2 linked regions of the Arabidopsis thaliana genome follow. The protein of the gene in region 2 interacts with the protein of the main gene of each other region in a pairwise test. Each region holds a gene or a part of one and is shown on either strand. Other genes may lie near its edges.

The links.
Region 1: the proteins of AT5G10400 (region 2) and NAP1;2 interact in a protein complementation assay, tested with the Arabidopsis thaliana proteins (one study listed by BioGRID).

What each region holds. Positions count from the first base shown.
Region 1 is NC_003071.7:8,436,517-8,442,171, reverse strand, and holds NAP1;2 (nucleosome assembly protein 1;2), read right to left. Parts: upstream 3,717-5,655; 5' UTR 3,572-3,716; coding exon 3,526-3,571; intron 3,422-3,525; coding exon 3,378-3,421; intron 3,150-3,377; coding exon 3,054-3,149; intron 2,925-3,053; coding exon 2,832-2,924; intron 2,610-2,831; coding exon 2,522-2,609; intron 2,418-2,521; coding exon 2,356-2,417; intron 2,274-2,355; coding exon 2,089-2,273; intron 2,006-2,088; coding exon 1,828-2,005; intron 1,741-1,827; coding exon 1,697-1,740; intron 1,614-1,696; coding exon 1,397-1,613; intron 1,301-1,396; coding exon 1,283-1,300; intron 1,201-1,282; coding exon 1,132-1,200; 3' UTR 671-1,131; downstream 1-670. Other genes in the region: RECA2 (recA DNA recombination family protein), read right to left, coding at 143-200, 384-440. UniProt on the Arabidopsis thaliana protein: May modulate chromatin structure by regulation of nucleosome assembly/disassembly. May function in nucleotide excision repair (NER). Involved in somatic homologous recombination.
Region 2 is NC_003076.8:3,269,439-3,272,911, forward strand, and holds AT5G10400 (Histone superfamily protein), read right to left. Parts: upstream 1,520-3,473; 5' UTR 1,451-1,519; coding exon 1,040-1,450; 3' UTR 734-1,039; downstream 1-733. Other genes in the region: AT5G10390 (Histone superfamily protein), read right to left, coding at 1-37; AT5G10410 (ENTH/ANTH/VHS superfamily protein), read left to right, coding at 2,514-2,926, 3,041-3,473. UniProt on the Arabidopsis thaliana protein: Core component of nucleosome. Nucleosomes wrap and compact DNA into chromatin, limiting DNA accessibility to the cellular machineries which require DNA as a template.

The sequences.
Region 1 (5,655 bases), on a different chromosome or scaffold from region 2:
AACAACCACAGTGAGCTAAGCAATCAGAAACGCAAACGGATTTAGCTCTAGTAATCTGTGGAAATACATATATTCATCAAAATCAAAAACCAATTTGAGTAAAATCGATTCATAGAAACAAAAGGTAAAAGCTTAAGACAACCTTTGGCAGCAAAGCCTCGGAGCTGAAACGATGTTCCAACCACACTTCTTCTAAGTAACTGCAAAACCCCATGAAACCCTTGTCAATAAACATTACCCAGAAAAAAAGAATGAATTCAAATTAAGAGACAACATTTCGGATTCTTTCTCATGAATGAATACCCAAATAAGCAATGAAAACGACAGTAACAGAGTTTTTTTAATTTCTCGTAATACCCAAATGAGAAACACGATAAACATACCTCTGACGAAAACAGAGAGCTTCTCAGTGAATAAACGTTTCGGAGAATCCTCGCCATAGAAAAGCACTAAAAAGCTTCTTCTCCACTTTTTTAAACCACAGATACAGAAACAAACCAAAAACTGGAAAATTCCAACTACCCAGAAGTCAGACTTGTATGAAAACGGAGAAGAAGAGAAATTTCACTGGAAAAAAAAAAGGAAGAGTTTTTTAGGGTTTTAGGTTTTCGTTTCCCTCCGTTTCAACTATTTTTTTTGGGTTTCTGTTGATCGGTCTTTTACAAGTCGGCAGAGATGTTTTTGACTTTTGTCTTTCCCAGAGAAACTCAAACCGATGTCTAAACCGGCTCATTGATGGGTTATGCAAACCGATAAATAAGATTGATTGGTTTTAATTATTTGACGGTTTGGTAATGTTGGTTTATAAAATTCGATCAATCTTAAGTAAACTAGATTGTCTCACAAATTCTCTCATTAACGAGGGAGGATAAATAGAATTGAATTCGAAATCTGACCAGAGAACGACATTAACTCGAAACAAATTCATAAGATCATTACAAAAGGAAAAATCAAGAGACACAAACCAAACCAAAGAACCCATTTTTTTTTTTTAAATAGCAAACCAATCACCCAAAACTGATATATAATAAACCGGACCATGACTCTGCAAATTAAAGAAACACAACCTCGGCTCAAAGACACTCTTCACTCTTCTTCTTCATCATAACTAAGCCAAGATTCTTCACTTCTTCACTGCTGCTTACATTCCGGTGGCCTCTCACCTGCTTGACCTTCCGCAAGTTGACTTCTTCCAGCCTTCTGTTCATTAAAAAAGGATACCTCAGGTTAGCCATTGCATTATCAACAAAAAAAAAAGATCGAGATTGATTGATTGTTAAACCTTGTGCCCAGCTGATGACTGCAACAAAACAAAAGATAAACCACCAAATCAGTTTCAGAGGTTTTAGTTTCCTATGTAGGAAGGTTTTAAGTAGAACAAAACCACATAATTTACCTTCTTTTTGCTCTTCTTTCCTTGATCTGCTTCTTCCTCCTCGTCATCATCCTCATCATCCTCCTCCTCGTCATCCTCATCATCTTCCTCGTCCTCTTCATCATCATCTTCATCAATCTCATCATCGTCGTCCTCAATATCAAGGTCATCTGCCTCAACAGCTTCACCAGTGAACCATGACACAGCATGCGAGATGATTTTCTCTTTGATTGTTGAACTACAGGATAAACAGTGGACAGACTCAGATCCTAGAACTGAACTAAGTGAAGAGAACTGAATATGAAATAGAAAGGTACACACCCGATATCATAATCATGCTCCATTTGTCCTTGGAGTTCATCAGCCTGTGAATATTAGATGATCAGATTAAAATCCAACACAATCTTAATTACTGACTCTAAAAACTAAACTGCTTATGGAGATGGAAATACCATGTCATCATCAAGATCCTCATCATCGTCAGGAACTTGAGGTGGACTGAAAAAGTTGAAGAAACTCTCACAGTCCTCAGTCTTAGTGATCGGCTTTGTGTTTTTGGATCCTTTCTTTGGCTTCTTTTTTAGAATCTTCTGTGTCAAACACTTTCCAGGATACCACTCAATCTCCGTCCTGAACAGCAGTAAACGACAGTCAATAAAGACTTATTGTCTTCAGAACATAAACAGTAAATACTTGATAGAGCAAAACATTACCCGAGGGCCTTCTCAAGGATAGGCTCATCTTCATCAATCATGTGATATGTCTTGGTCAAGACAGTGTTCTTGAAGTAAGGATTCTGATCAAAGAAAAACTCAAGCTTGAACCCTTTTGGTTCTTCAACCCTACTCCACTTGATATCTTTGAGATACTTGAGAGCCCCTTCATCTCGCTCAGTTATCTAAAACCGTGGAAAAAACCACATAATGATAAAGAGAATCGCCATTTTATAAACCAAAAAGAAGAATATTCTAATAACGAACCTCTTCCGCAGTAATTTCATTGTTCTTCAATGCAATAAGCCAGAAATCTGGTACTCCTTTCTCTGCAGAAAGACAGTTTCATATCATATAAAAATCATGAGTTCACCATCATCATCATAAGATACTAAAAATAAACATGTTTCAGTAAAAGAATCGATAAACACACCTTCAGCTGATTTATCTTCTCCTTGTTCGGATTTTACTTCTTCAGCTGCACCTTCAACTTCGACCACACCATTCACAATCTCATATCGCTGTGATGCAGAAGGCAGAAGACCATCAATATCAGTTACAATCACGAATGATGCAGAAAGAAGTGAAAACCATGAAGCACTAATCATTCACGTAAGTAGCAACAGAGAGAAGTCTTATTAAACCTTTATCAATTGAGGTGTCATCATGTGTTTCAAAGATATTCTAATAATAGGAAACTAAAGACCATAAGAATCTCGCAGAATCAAAGACCGTATTCAAACCTTGGTATATAAAGGCTGATATAACTTTTGATACTTAGCTTCAAGAGCTGCTCTCTCCTCAAAGAATTTTGCTTCCATCTCATCATATTGGTTCTGCAAAGGTTAAAATACAAAAGGAATCAGATAAATTTGCTCCACCAAAAACTCATTAGACCTGAACAGCCAGCTAATTCAAAACCAATACAAAATCCAAGATCATCTAAAAGCTGAAAATTTACTCACCTGAATCTCTCTTAGAAACTCGACACGCTTCCTGACTGGTGGAGTCAAGTTTTCAAGGACATCAGAGTGTTGTCCAGCCAAATTCTGCAACTTGTTCTGCAGCAAACACGTAAATCAAATCAGGAAAAGTCACAAACTTTCAAACAACCAAATTAAGATGCATAGACAATCCTCAAAACCAAAGTCAAATTCTCTAAGCCATAAGAATCAAATCAATTTCTCAAAACTAGTCAGGAAGAGAAAACAATCCCTAAAAGTTACAAAGATGAATAGCCCAATCTCCAGATAGTCATACGCAAATCATATCGTGAAGAAAAAACTCACCTTAAGAGCATTAACAAGCCCGGCACGATCCTCCTCGTTAAGAGCTATAAGCAAAACACAAAACAAGAGAAGCTTTTTTCAATAAATCAAGAGAACAAAAGAGAATCCAGGCCTCATTCTATAGGACAATAAGATTATAATATCTTACCGGTGGAGAGATCGGACATGTTCATGCTGTCCTTGTCGTTGCTCATCTTCGCAAGAAAAGAATCTGGCGGAGGAAGAGGAAGGATAAGAAACCTTAAAACCCTAGATTTTTGGGGACAAATACGAGACAGAGAATATATATATAAATAACTAAAAGGGCTTTGAGAAAATGACCAGACCGAAATAAGACACAACTAAAGCGAAAATAACAAATTTTTACATCAAAATTTGGCATGAATATTTGTTTTTAACATTTAAGAGCATTTCTGTTGATTTTTTTTAAAAAAAGGCTTTTAAGAGCATTTCTATTGGTTAGAAGAAATCTAGGTTGCATGGAAACTCGCCCCGAGGTCTATTTCCCATTTCCGAAACGTTACGAAAACAGAAACTCTCCGGAAACATGAAAAACGTAACGGAAACGCGTTTTTTAAAAATTTATGTTTGGAAACACGATGGAAACTTACGTTTTAAAGATAGAAACTCATGTTTCCCAAATAGACATACGACAAATTTTTTTCAACTTTGAAAATTTAATAACTAAAATTAAAATTATTAAAATTATTAATACATATAACTAATTTTGGAAGACTTTGAGTTTTAAGATATTTCTTTTGATAAACCAGATTTGAAAAGAGCTTTATATTATCTTTGATGAAACTAATGAAAATGAAAATGTTGGTCTAAATTAACTATTTGAACTTGAACCTTTTAATTTTTATCTTTTAGAATTTTAGTTTATTTATTTAATATTGATGTTTTGGACTTGTATTGTTTAAACCATTTTTTCTTTAATATAGTTTTATGTTAATGTTATATATATATATATATATATATGTATGTATGTGTATACGTTTCCAATCCCTAATTTTAAGAAAAAATCGTTTCCAATCCCTAATTTTAAGAAAAAATCGTTTCTCGTTTCCGAAACGTTTCGTATTCGCGTTTTCGTTTCCATTTCATTGCAACATAGGAAGAAACTCACGAGTCTTTTGATGATAGAAGTTTATTTATTTAACTAAAAATTTATTTATTACAAAAGTTTAACCTAATCATCAAAAAACAAATGTATATAAAAAAAAAGTATGTCATGAGTTTCTCAAGTGAAAAAAGAGTCTACTTTCTTTTAGCTCGAAGACAATTCTCATATTCTCATGAATGCTAGCTGATCACATGTTAATGCTTAATCTGGATTGATGCATTGTCATGAGTCACTCAAATTTCATATTAGCACACTATAGTAAGCAAATCTGATTGGAAAACATCTAGTGAGATGCTGCTTTGTTAGTTTAGGGAAAAATGCTTATTTGGTCCTAAAGATTTCGACTTAAGAATAGAGAAATGGTAAAAAAATGTAGAACATCATGCCAATCAAATGATACAAAAGTAACATAACCACCAAACGCATTTGCATGATCTATCTAATATTATATGTACCTATTTTGGTTTAAGGTCATTAATAAACTTGTTGATTAGTTTTTAATAATTTTGTAAAGTTTCTCAAACAATTTCTTTATTTTTATGATATTTTTCACAACTTTATTTTGTAAAAAAAAAGGGTATGATATTTTTCACAACTTTATTTTATAAAAAAAAGGGTAGAAAGTCATAAACCAATAACACAATAATTTAATTCATTATAATAATCATAGATTCTTTGTTTTAAATGAATTACACAAAAAATTTAATAACTTTATAAAAATATGAATCCAATAACTCTACATTTATGAAGATTTTATATTACTTTTTACAAATCTTAAACTAATAACACCAAACTTTAACAAAAAATTGAAAAATCTTTATTGAATAACAACAAATTCTTCATAACATTTTAAGTCACTGAAACTTCGAATACATCACAAACCAATAACACTCCCTAAATAAATTTATATATATTACTAGAAGTCTGGTTATTTGTTTAAATGTTAAAAGATATATGAATTTGTAAACTTAAGAGATTTATGGAATTTAGGAAAATATAAAAACAAAATCCTTATTCTTATTATAAAGTTTCTAAGAAATATACTGTATATTTTTTTCACCGAATAAAGATATTTAATAAATTGAGAAAAGGAATAGAAAAGACCAAAAGCAACAGGCTAAGCGAGACACACACACACGCGCAGTCTTCTTC
Region 2 (3,473 bases):
CTGTGGATTTCCTCGCGGTTTGCTTAGTACGAGCCATTTCGAAATCAAACAAAGACTAATCGACCGATCGAATTTTCTTCTTGTGGAGGATGCGAATGAGAAATTTTGTAGTGAAGATCAACGCAGAAGAGGGACTGCTTTTATGGGGAGAGAAATTTGGCGGTGAGGTGAAAAAAACATGGGAGGGAGTTTTGTTTTTGGAGGGAAAGTTGTATTCTTGTCCGTTGGATTAAATATTTCAATCAACGGCTGAGATCATCAGGTATAAATCCGTGTGAGACCTTATCAACGAATTAAAATAGACTAAAATTCCGGCCATCCGTGTCATTTACTATCAACCAATTTAAATCATCCTTTTCAGTCCACGTAGGCTTTTGCGCTACTTCCAAATCTTTTAATTTTAGGCGCCAAATCGAAAATTTTGGCTATGAAGGGTCTCAAAAAAATTCAATCGTAGAAAATAAGGATGAAATTATTTCAAAATTTACATAACAAATTTAGCCTGAAGTTACAAATTTCGAGAAATTACATTACTCTTATTCAGCAAATCTACGCATTAAGTAAAATAATTTGGAGGATTTCTTACTGTGATGGTATAACCAGGAATAGAACAATCTGCGAATTCTCACTTTGATTTTGTAAAGAACCGATACTTTTCTTACGTTTAGTGAATGATTTAGTTCTAAATAAGAATTTGTAGAATGTTTTGTTCATGGAGAAGAAGACTGAGAATCCCTAAGCAGCTACTATTGCAAATCAATTTGGACAATTTCATCGAGCAAAAAATTAACTCTTCCGTTGATAAACGATTCTTAAGCGTGGCAGAAATATGGAGATCGACAGAACGAATCAAAAGATTAGACAACAGTAGATTAAAATTTCCTTTAGGCATTTCATCGAACATCTGGAAGACACATCTAAGTAAAAAACTAATAACACTCGAAAACGAAAAGAGACAGCTTTACATATCCATTGAAACCAAACAAGCTAATCCATAACTAAACGACTAGTCTTCTTAATCTTCATCATCTTCGTTCACTTAAGCCCTCTCTCCTCTGATTCTCCTCGCAAGCTGGATATCCTTAGGCATAATCGTAACCCTCTTAGCATGAATCGCACAGAGATTAGTATCTTCAAAGAGCCCAACAAGATAAGCCTCAGCTGCTTCCTGAAGAGCTGCGACGGCACTGCTCTGGAACCTCAGATCCGTCTTGAAATCTTGAGCAATCTCACGAACCAATCTCTGGAACGGAAGCTTACGGATCAAAAGCTCAGTACTCTTCTGATACTTCCTGATTTCTCTCAACGCCACCGTTCCTGGACGGAATCTGTGTGGCTTCTTCACTCCTCCGGTGGCTGGAGCTGATTTCCTCGCAGCTTTGGTCGCGAGTTGCTTCCTTGGTGCCTTTCCTCCGGTGGATTTACGAGCTGTTTGCTTGGTACGAGCCATTTTAGGAGTTCGCAAGATTGTAAATTTGCTCTTTTGGATTTGATTCGGTGAGAATGCGATCGATGGGAAAGTGAGTGATGTTGTGAGGCTTTTTTATACTCAAAGGTAGAGAGGAAGTGATTGTGTTTTGTCCGTTAGATCTGTTTGGCTTATCAACGGTTAGAAATGTTTGTATCTTTACGATCCGCGTCCTGTGTTAATAACCAATAAGAATTACTTTCTCAGCATCCACGTCATATGTTACCAAAATTGTCAATGCCGAAATTCACATATACAATTTGATTTATGTGTTTATGCGGAAGAAGCCATGAATCAATTATTCTTACGGATCTAAAGCTTGACTTGACCAAATTTGTTCTCAACACATTTTTATGAATATATCATTCATGTTGACGTTAAAAAATCGTAAATTGGTGTTCAAATTTTCGAGATCTTTATTTTGTTAATGGAATTTGCTGGTGGCTGCAGTGTGGTTGTTATTACTATTACTTATATAGTTAATTTGTATTGACTTTTCTAATCTTTAATTAGATACTAGATAAATGACAATACTGGTAAACCTATTCGTTAAATATAACATTGGTAAACTTATTCATTTACAATACAAATAAAAAAAACATTGGTGTAAAGTCAATAGTCAATACAAATAAACTATATATGTAATAGAAATAACAAAGTAGTTGCCAGACTTATTCTATAACATTCCTATCAACATTTTATTTAACAAATAACAACATTTTATTGGTCTTATGAGGTTGAATATGAACTCGTCATGTTTAATATAAGTTTTATAAAATGAATGAACGACGACTTTAGAATGAAAAGATATATTACCAAATTAATAGTTGAGAAAAGTAAAATTAATCAAATTTGGATGTCGACCAAAAAAATAATGTTAATTTTGAATGATTGCAAAAGGAAACTCACGTATATAAAAAAGATTTAAAAGGAAACTATAAGAAAATGGAAAGCGAATCAAACATTGGACGCTTATAAAAATCAAATTCCAACCTCACAAAGCAAAACAGCTTCAATTTTTTTTTCATCTAGTTCCATCGAGATAATGCCAGGACTCAAAACTCACATAATCGGAAAATTCAAAGACAAAGCTTCGATAGGCAAAGCAAGATTGGTTCATAGTTTCGGGTCCACCGCCGTCAAATACATTCACTTAGCCCTCTTGAAGTCAACAACTCGTACTCCTAACAAACCACCAAACAGTGACTATGTCTCCGCTGTTATCTCTTACTCCAACAGCCGTTACGCTCCGGCGGCTTTCTCAGCGGCTCTGTGGAGGTTACGTGTCACGAAGAACGCTATTGTGGCCACCAAGTCTCTCATCGTCATCCACAAGCTTATCAAATCATCAAGAGACAAGTTTGAAGGACTAGGTCATGGTCGAAACAATCTAAAGTTGAACGAGTTTTCAGACAAATCTTCTAATCTCACGCTAGAATTGTCTCAGTGGATTAGATGGTAATTTACTTCTTCTTTTAAAAAGATTTTTTAGTTCTCTTTTTTGATTGTGATATTTATCTAATAATTTGGACATGTTCATACCGACATTTTTAAAAAAAAAATGTAACTTAGGTATGGACAATACTTGGATCGTCTCTCGTGGGTTCCGAAGGTATTAGGATCTTTTCCAAATTTGTTGGTGAATCCAAAAGATAAAGTTGAAGAGAAAGATCGTGTTTCGTCTTACCAAACCGGGTATATTATAAGACAAACGGATTCTCTTGTGAGTTTTTTTGAGCATATATGTACCAGACCTGAGATTCCGCCTATGTTCCAAAACAAGATCGTGGACGAGATTAGAGAGCTAGTGATTGAAGACTATTTCAAGATTGTGAGATTGGTTATGGTACGGCTTCAGGTGTTGTTTGAACGATTGATTAAACCGGGTGTTAAACCTATTGGTGATCTCGGTCTGAACGATTTTAGTCTGCTTTTGGTGAGACTTGTAGAATGCAAGGAGAGCTTGAGTGGATTATTTTGGCGTTGCAGACGTCTAGCGGATGAT